Nothobranchius furzeri: one gene and its partner. The protein of the gene in region 1 interacts with the protein of each later gene in a biochemical or structural test. Links are inferred from orthologs where the notes say so. Each region holds a gene or a part of one and is shown in the gene's direction. Other genes may lie near its edges.

Region 1 (4,245 bases):
TGTTAAACACGTGTTTATCAGTACAGTATGCGTAGCTTTGCATTGATGACCTGCAGCAACAAAAGAGATTCAGCCAAATAAAAAGAAGATATTTTTCTTATTACTTTGTAACAGTTTCATTTCTCCTTACTTTGCATCTACTTAACATTTTATTCATTTGACCAGTGCATTCAGCCTTTCCATAGACTATTCAGTATTTAAATAATGATTGTGTTCTTTCATTTAATGACTTCTTTCTGATTTCCCCCCAATAATCTTTATGTAAAATATTATGTGATCACATTTCTAAAGAAATTACTGAAATGTATTTTTGAATGTGTTTAAAACAATTCTATAAAACTCACTATCCCCCACCCCTCCATTACCGTGTAAACCGAGGCTCAAACAGGGTCTGGATTTATTGTTCATGAATGTTGGTGATTTTTCGTTCTTTGATGAAAAATGCCAGACTGAACGAGTTGACATTGACTGAGGTACGAGAATGTTCATGGAAGGATAGTGACAAAAGTACCCTTCTGACCCATTAAAGTATTTTTTCAGTTTTTGTGTTAGACATTAACTCTTATTTACAAGTAAAATGAAGTATGCAAAATAGATGACACTCGCTATGGATGCAGCTGAGGACATCAGGTGGGTACTATTATGATTATATGGATAAACAGTAGCAGGCATAATACCAGGAGTGTTAATGTTTATTAAGAACATCTGACTGGAAAAAGATCACAAATCAAAAATATACAGATTAATTACAAATCTTATGGATCTTTTAGATTTATGAGCCTCATATGGACTTATAAATGAAAAATCCACAAATTATTCAATCAGTTTGAAAAATTCAACTATTGGTTATTATGATGCAAAATATTGTCATCTTCAAAATTTTTTGAAATTTTAAAATGTATTTACTAATTTTGTATTTTTTCTTGACAAATATATACAACAAATGTGGCATCTATTTTAGTCATTTCTGAAATTATTCTTTTTATTATTATTTTGTCATTTCTGAAATTAACATACAGGAAGTGGAATCTTCACTGATGTTGTATCAGAAAAAGGCACTCCTGCCTTGTAAAGTTCCCCATCACCGGAAGCGCATTTCATTAGCCTTTTTTAACTACTGGGTTCAGTAAAAGTTTTTTAAGTCTTCAGAATCAGTGTTTTAATATAATGAAAGACACAACTTTATTTGGCTTGTTACAATGTGTATGGCGAGCTAGTTCTGCGGGGGTTGCTATTTTTCGGTAAAACACCGGTGCTACGGGGGCGTGGTTGACATCTGATCCTGATAACTGTCCTTTTATTTCAGTAGTCCTGATGTTGTACCTTCGTTAAGACATCATTAAATAAGTATTTCGAATCGAAAAAGTATTTAGTCGGTTAAACGGAACTTTTAGTGTAACTTTAGCCGCTACTAGCTAACCTTTCAGTTGTTTGTAGCATAGCGTGACGATAGCTAGCTAGCCGAGGCTAGCTCTGAGCATAGCTAGTAGCTAATTGTTAGTTGGGTCGCAGTTTCTACCTTTAACAAAGCGCAATTTATTCTTTCCACGCGTTTAATCTCGTTAGCAGAGAAATAAAACGCTCATTTGTACAGAGAAATGTCGCTAACAGAGGGCGTCCTTTCAGATGAGTGGCCCTGAGTTTGATCAGATGAGTTAGCGAAATGTCTTGTAAATCAACCAAAGTCGCCCCGAGTGTTGATTTTGATCACAGCTGCTCCGACAGCGTGGAATATTTGACGCTCAACTTTGGCCCGTTTGAGACTGTCCATCGTTGGAGAAGACTTCCTCCGTGTGATGAGTTTGTTGGTGCCAGGTATCAAACTGTCAGATCAGAGACATGAGAGGACATACTGCGTGTTGACCCCTGTTCATTCTGGGTGTTTTGCATCCTCACACAGGCGCAGCAAACACACAGTTGTGGCATACAGGGACGCCATATACGTGTTTGGAGGAGATAATGGGTGAGAATTTGTTGACAGGGATGGGTGTTTTATTTTTATTTTTTGCATACATAAATGTGTTCTAACTCTGTTGCACCCTACAGGAAGAACATGCTGAATGATTTGCTCCGCTTCGATGTGAAGGACTGCTCTTGGTGTCGGTAAGACTGCAGCAACCAAAAGAAACGCTTTAAATCAAGAATCTGACTTTAACACCAGTGGAAAACTGTGCCTTACAGAGCTTTCACCACTGGAACTCCACCTGCTCCCAGATATCACCACTCAGCTGTGGTCTATGGCAGCAGCATGTTTGTCTTTGGTAAAGTTGGCTGATTTTAGATCTGCAAAAACTGCAAAAACTTAGATTATTTTGAAATAAACGAGTATGGTGTCTGTATTTTATTTTCCAGGGGGCTACACCGGAGACATATATTCCAATTCAAACCTAAAAAATAAGAACGACCTGTTTGAGTATAAGTTTGCCACAGGACAATGGACTGAATGGAAAGTGGAAGGAAGGTAATATTCATTTATTTTTTGTGTATATGAAATTAGTTGGCACCAGTATCTGGGCTCATGTTAATTTTGAGAGTGAAATTGTCTAAAGTGTATTTTCTCTCCATGTAATCAAACAATTTTTTTTTTGCTAACTGTGAGGATAGAAGCTGATTTGTACAAGTCTTGTGGCTGTTTTAGCTTGCCGGTGGCCAGATCTGCACATGGAGCTACAGTCTACAACGACAAGCTGTGGATATTTGCTGGCTATGACGGGAATGCCAGGTGTGTGAGATAACATTCTGTTTTTACATCTACACATTCATCTCTGCGTTCCTAATAAGTTTATGTTCTGTGTACGTAGACTAAACGACATGTGGACCATCAGTCTGCAGGATCGTGATCATGCATGCTGGGAAGAGGCTAGTTAACTTCACCTACACATTTAAAATGGACAAAAACAAAAGATCCAGAAAGACTGAATCCATGTTTTTATATCTCTCTGTTTGGTTTTGTCACCGCCAGATTGTTCAAAGTGGTGAAATTCCTCCATCCTGCTGCAACTTCCCAGTAGCGGTGTGCAGGGATAAGATGTTTGTGTTTTCTGGTCAGAGTGGAGCCAAGATCACTAATAACCTCTTTCAGTTTGAATTCAAAGGCCACATGTGAGCATTGCCTTTCCTGATGAGTCAAACCATAAGTAGTGTGTGTGTTGGATAAAGTCACACAGGACTCCAACGTCTTCTCAGGTGGACGCGGATCCCAACGGAGCACTTGCTGCGGGGCTCTCCTCCACCTCCTCAGAGACGTTACGGACACACTATGGTCGCCTTTGACCGCCACCTGTACGTATTTGGAGGTGCTGCTGATAACACGCTACCCAATGAGCTGCACTGTTATGATGTGGACTCTCAGACCTGGGAGGTGATCCATCCCAGCTTTGACAGTGAAGTATGAACCAAAATGGTTTTCCTTATATTTTCTTTATCATTATTGTTCTGTTTATAGATACTTCATCGATTAGAGTATAGGAGATTCTTGATTTTGTCGCTAAAACCTTCAATAATTTCACTTGGGCTTGTAGTCCTATTTGATGCTCATTGCATGATGTTTCCATCCTGAAAACCAATTTGAACCCTACAGATGCCGAGCGGGAGGCTCTTCCACGCTGCGGCTGTGATCCAAGATGCCATGTACATCTTTGGAGGGACTGTGGATAACAATGTTCGCAGTGGGGAGATGTATAGATTCCAGGTGAGTGTTTACAAAGAAAGTAAATTTTCTTTAGACAACTTGGTCTAAAACTGATCACATTCAAATGTTTACATTGCAGTTCTCAAGCTACCCAAAGTGCACTCTCCACGAGGATTACGGTAAACTGTGGGAGAACCGTCAGTTCTGTGACGTGGAGTTCATTCTGGGCGAGGTGGGTCTTAATTGTTAAAAGAAAAAACGGAGGTTAAGCTTTGAAGTAGCTGATTAAAATCACATGGAAGGTAAACATGTTTTTTCTCATCTCCTGTTGTGTTGTTTACAGAGGGAGGAGAGAGTCTTGGGGCATATCGCCATAGTGACCGCGAGGTGCCAGTGGCTGCGGAGGAAAATCCTGCAGGCCCGGGATAGGCAGCGACAGGTCTGAGTCAGCACGCCTCATGTTTCCTGAGACTACAGGACTTAATCACAGTTTTAGCCCCACAAGTATTAATATGACTCAAGAAGGTACTTTTTACATTATGTAGAAATGAAGCCAAGTGGAAGCTGCAAATGAAATAATTGCAACATAAAAGGACAACTAGTTTTCTTTACAG
Region 2 (4,287 bases), on another chromosome or scaffold:
GGAAGTCCTTAACCCAATCTTAAGTCATTTCTCCTTAGATGTTTTCTCTGCATGATGCATACCAATAATTTGACCCCACTTAAACATCTTTTCCAAAGTAAAGCACTTTGGAGTCCTCTGACTCTGAAAGGTGCTACACAATGTGGGTCGTTTATCATTTCTTTAGTCTTGTTGAGGAAGACCAACCTTCTGTCTGAAGAAAGAGGGTGAACAGTTCTGTGCTAATGAGATCCTCCATTGTCTTTGCTCTGATTGTGCATCTGCTGGAGGAAATGCCCTCCAATGAGGAGAGGCAGCTGTTGGTAATTTTATTCAGCAGGTCTAGCCCATCTTTGCAGCACCTTCTTGTAATCCCCAAAACAAAACAGATGTTCATGCTGTAATTTTTTAGGATGGAAGATAATTTATTCAAAATAATAATAATGCATTTACCATTGTCTGCCATGGTTTCTAAAGCTTGATCAATCCAAATAAGTCTAAATTTAGACCTGATTCTAACTTATAACATTTTTAGTTGCCTCAGATACATAAAAAATATATAATTTTATAATTTTACTGGTTAGTCTTTGTGAGCGGCTCAGTTTAAGCAGCTGGGTCCTTTTGTTTGCAAAGATCCTTCTTAAATGCTTAAAACAGATTTTATTGACACAGAAATCCAATTTCGGCGCTTTAATGCCGTTTGTGCCCTCTGGATCAGAAGTCTGCGCTTTTTTACAAGCGTACTGTTTATTTATGCATGTGTGCAGCGCAGCAGCAGCGCCAGTGAGCACGTAGGAAAACTGACGGGGGATTGCCAAATCATTTCCTTGCTTGGGAATGACGTCCATCCTCCAGCACATTCCAGTTATATTTAGAGCCTATATATAGTGGAGTCGCCCCGTAGGCTTTGTTGACTCTGCGGCGCGCTGCAGCGGTAGCAGCGGGTCTCGCTGGAGGACACGAAACCCACTCTACGTGACCTGAAACCTATCAGTGTTGTCCGATTTTAATAAAAATGCAAGCACAAACATTCCGTTTGGTTTTAGTTTAGATGCAACAAAAAGAAAACACCGGTTTACTTGAGATATGGGAGTTGGAGAATGGGCATAGTTTGATATGACGAGGATCTTATCAACATATGGGTAATAATAAAAGAAACGAGCGTATTTTCGGGATCGTATTGCGACACACGCTTGAGTGATTTGACCCAGGCCGGTTGAAATCCACAGCTATGGTTTCTGGGTAAAGTAAGCCCTGGTATCCGCCCATATTCGCGTAACGCAGCAGGCCACACTGAGCAGCAGCGGCTAGGCCGAGGGGAAGCTGGATCTCATCAGATCAGATGGAAAGTTCAATCGATTAATTCGCCCACTTTATTTATTTTCCTTCCCCCTCTGCATGCTCCCGGTTGCTCCCGAAACCACGCTAGACCGACTCGAATGCGGGCTTTTTGGTGAGAAGTAGGAAATGCAGAGATCGTGTGAAGCGAGAGGATTATCTGCTTGACTTCTTTGGTCGCTACTTCAGACGCGGAACTTCACTCGCTAAAAGGTAAAACAAGCGCATAAGACGCATTAATGGCAGACTTTAGCATGTAGCCTTTGCGGAATTTCACTGTCTAATAAAACTAAGTTATTATGCGTTATTGAAACACTGGGCAGCCTCCCTGTAGTCAAACATGTTCGTTTTTGGCTAAACTACGCCCAGTTAACCTACCGTCTGGCCCTACATTGCAGAGCTTTAGCTAGCTTGTCGATAGCGGCTTCTCTTCCCGTTTGAATGGATGACAGACTCGGCTCAGACACACTGAGCTGACAGAACAATAATATCGGCTAGCCTTTTTTTAATTATAAAACACAACGGGAAAGTGCGCAAGACTTTATTTTTTAACAGTAATTAAGTGTGAATGAGCGATCTCCGATGCTAAGCTAGCTAACATCAGCAAAGTCGCCTGAAGTACCGAGGACGTTTTCTTCTAAACTATTAAGGATAGAAGATTTAAATCAAACTCCTTTCCACTTTTATGCGCACCCTAGGGGCTCCTGCCTTCTTGAAGTCACTAAAGAACTTCCTCTGATTCCTCACAGGTAGCAAACTGTTTTCCAAGTAGCATTTTTGTTTATATGGCTGCTAATCAATCCCCGCATTAGCCCTCCAATCGGGGCTGCGCTGAGCTATTGAGCCATGTTCTCCAATGTTGTTGATGTATTAAGAAAAGAAACCACTCCACCATGCTGGCACAGACGCCTGGAATAAACTTTCAGTTTTTCAAAGCCGCACCATAAAAAATTTCCTGCAGTTTCAGGCGGTGAAAGTGAACTTTACGACTTATACGACTTACCTGCTGCTTTTTAGACGAGGCTGTGCTCAGCTTTTTGCACCCCTGTTCAGTTGCATTTGCACAAGACTTTCTGAAAGGTGAAAATATGCTTTAGATGAACATTTTCCCACACGTTTATTTTCTGATTGATATCTAAAAACATCACTTCATTTGCATTAATATAAATCTGTAACTTGCTGGTTAAAAGAACAAAACAAAACTTATTTGTTGTTTTCATTGTCTGAGCTCTGCAGACTTTCATCAGTTTGCGCTGTAACTTCTGAAAAGGCCAGCTGCAGCCATCGATCCACAAAGAAGTCACACACCAGAGCTTCACAGCCGCTTGTCAATTTTGAAGCTTTAATGTAATATTATGGATTTATGCCTGTGGTTAGTTTTAGTTGTAGAGGGGACAGTCATTGTGCTCTTTTATTCTGAGACTTGATCACATTGTGCTCTTTTATTCCGAGACTTGATCACATGGGCAAAGTTTTTCTCCTAATCCTTTTTTTTTAGCTCTCTACTCAATTATTTCTCATCTTGAGTCTGGTATTTCCCCCCAGAATGATCAGTAATTATACAAATTTAGTTTGTGTAGAAAAATAGGTTTTTTATCATTTAGTTGATGGTTTTCTGAAATCAGATTAATTAAAATACAAGTGTTCCCTTATTTTAGCTTAACCTCTGTTTGATTAATGATCATTTGTTGTGATTTCACGGTTTGTTCTCCCCTCAAGCGCTGTAGTTGATTACTAAAATAACCTTTCATAAAACTCAACTGTGTAAAATCAAAATTTCCAGTGAATCAGCAATGTTTTTCTGCCAGGCCGGAGCACACAGATTTCAGTTTATCAGACAAAAATAACAGACAGGAACAGGATCAGAGATTCTGCTGGAGGGGAACCCTTGAAAATAACCCTTTTTATGTAGAATTTAGAGCTTTTTATGATTATTGAAAGAGATCATGTATAGTTTTACCATTAATCTCTGGAAATATCCATCAAAATGCTATTTAAAATTAATTAAATGATGCAGAGTTGTTGAAAAATATTGGCGGCTTTGTAACATATAACAATAAAAATCGGGTCTAAAATACATGGGAGCGGGTCTAAAGCTCTGGGCGATGCCATGTTTCCTTCTACGGGAGCCCGTGAGGACAAAATGCATTTACTGATTTGTAACAAACGGTTACAAAACTTTCACCATTCATAAACGTTGTTTTACACATTTACCTCTTCGCTCATTGTCAGTGATAAAAGCGGAGCGTAACTGCTGTTCTTCAGATGAACGTTGATTTTATACGAAGAGGAAGTTTAGCACAGTTAAAATAAATTGTATTACTTAATCACTACAAGAACGTACGGGGAAATCTCTATGGTTGACCAAATTTGACTTGAGGAGAGATGTAGGAACACTGTAATGAGTTAATGCTGTAACATTTGAGTACAAATGAGACAAATATTCTTTATTTTGTCCGGCAGGTGAAACATGACAGAATATAAGCTGGTTGTAGTGGGAGCTGGTGGTGTGGGCAAGAGCGCGCTAACTATCCAGCTCATCCAGAACCACTTTGTGGACGAATACGACCCCACCATTGAGGTAAACATAAATGTGTGTTCTTGTTAACTGCACTTCCATGTCAGGAAGCAGGGATGCAAAAATAATGAGAAACTCTTTTTAAAAGCTTGTAACTGGCTTTACTGGTTTTGGGTTTTAAAAAGACACCAAACAGGTTTTTAATGACTTTTCATGCTTGGCTCCTGGCCAAGCTCCTCAGTGCCAGCCACATGCAGTGTGAACAATCTCATCATGATTTCAATCAATTATTGAAACGCTGTGGCAGGTTAGCGCTCTACCATGAATTACCCAGACACCAGATAGCATCTGAAAGTATGGCAGCTCATTGGATTCGTCTGTAATTATTCCTGTTGGATCCAATTGATGGCAGCCATCTGCGTGATGGAAAAAGGGCTTTGACAGAAACCTCT

What was found.
Region 2: the proteins of lztr1 (region 1) and kras form a complex in vitro, tested with the Homo sapiens proteins (2 studies listed by BioGRID, with this or other methods). The link is inferred for Nothobranchius furzeri from reciprocal best matches to the Homo sapiens genes LZTR1 and KRAS.

Annotation. Positions count from the first base shown.
Region 1 is NC_091757.1:45,256,842-45,261,086, reverse strand, and holds the start of lztr1 (leucine-zipper-like transcriptional regulator 1), read left to right. Parts: upstream 1-1,439; 5' UTR 1,440-1,663; coding exon 1,664-1,815; intron 1,816-1,900; coding exon 1,901-1,963; intron 1,964-2,046; coding exon 2,047-2,103; intron 2,104-2,181; coding exon 2,182-2,261; intron 2,262-2,352; coding exon 2,353-2,461; intron 2,462-2,638; coding exon 2,639-2,722; intron 2,723-2,801; coding exon 2,802-2,859; intron 2,860-2,962; coding exon 2,963-3,102; intron 3,103-3,186; coding exon 3,187-3,388; intron 3,389-3,580; coding exon 3,581-3,691; intron 3,692-3,770; coding exon 3,771-3,863; intron 3,864-3,974; coding exon 3,975-4,070; intron 4,071-4,245. UniProt on the Homo sapiens protein: Substrate-specific adapter of a BCR (BTB-CUL3-RBX1) E3 ubiquitin-protein ligase complex that mediates ubiquitination of Ras (K-Ras/KRAS, N-Ras/NRAS and H-Ras/HRAS).
Region 2 is NC_091744.1:73,814,953-73,819,239, forward strand, and holds the start of kras (GTPase KRas), read left to right. Parts: upstream 1-1,274; 5' UTR 1,275-1,530; intron 1,531-3,780; 5' UTR 3,781-3,787; coding exon 3,788-3,898; intron 3,899-4,287. UniProt on the Homo sapiens protein: Ras proteins bind GDP/GTP and possess intrinsic GTPase activity. Plays an important role in the regulation of cell proliferation.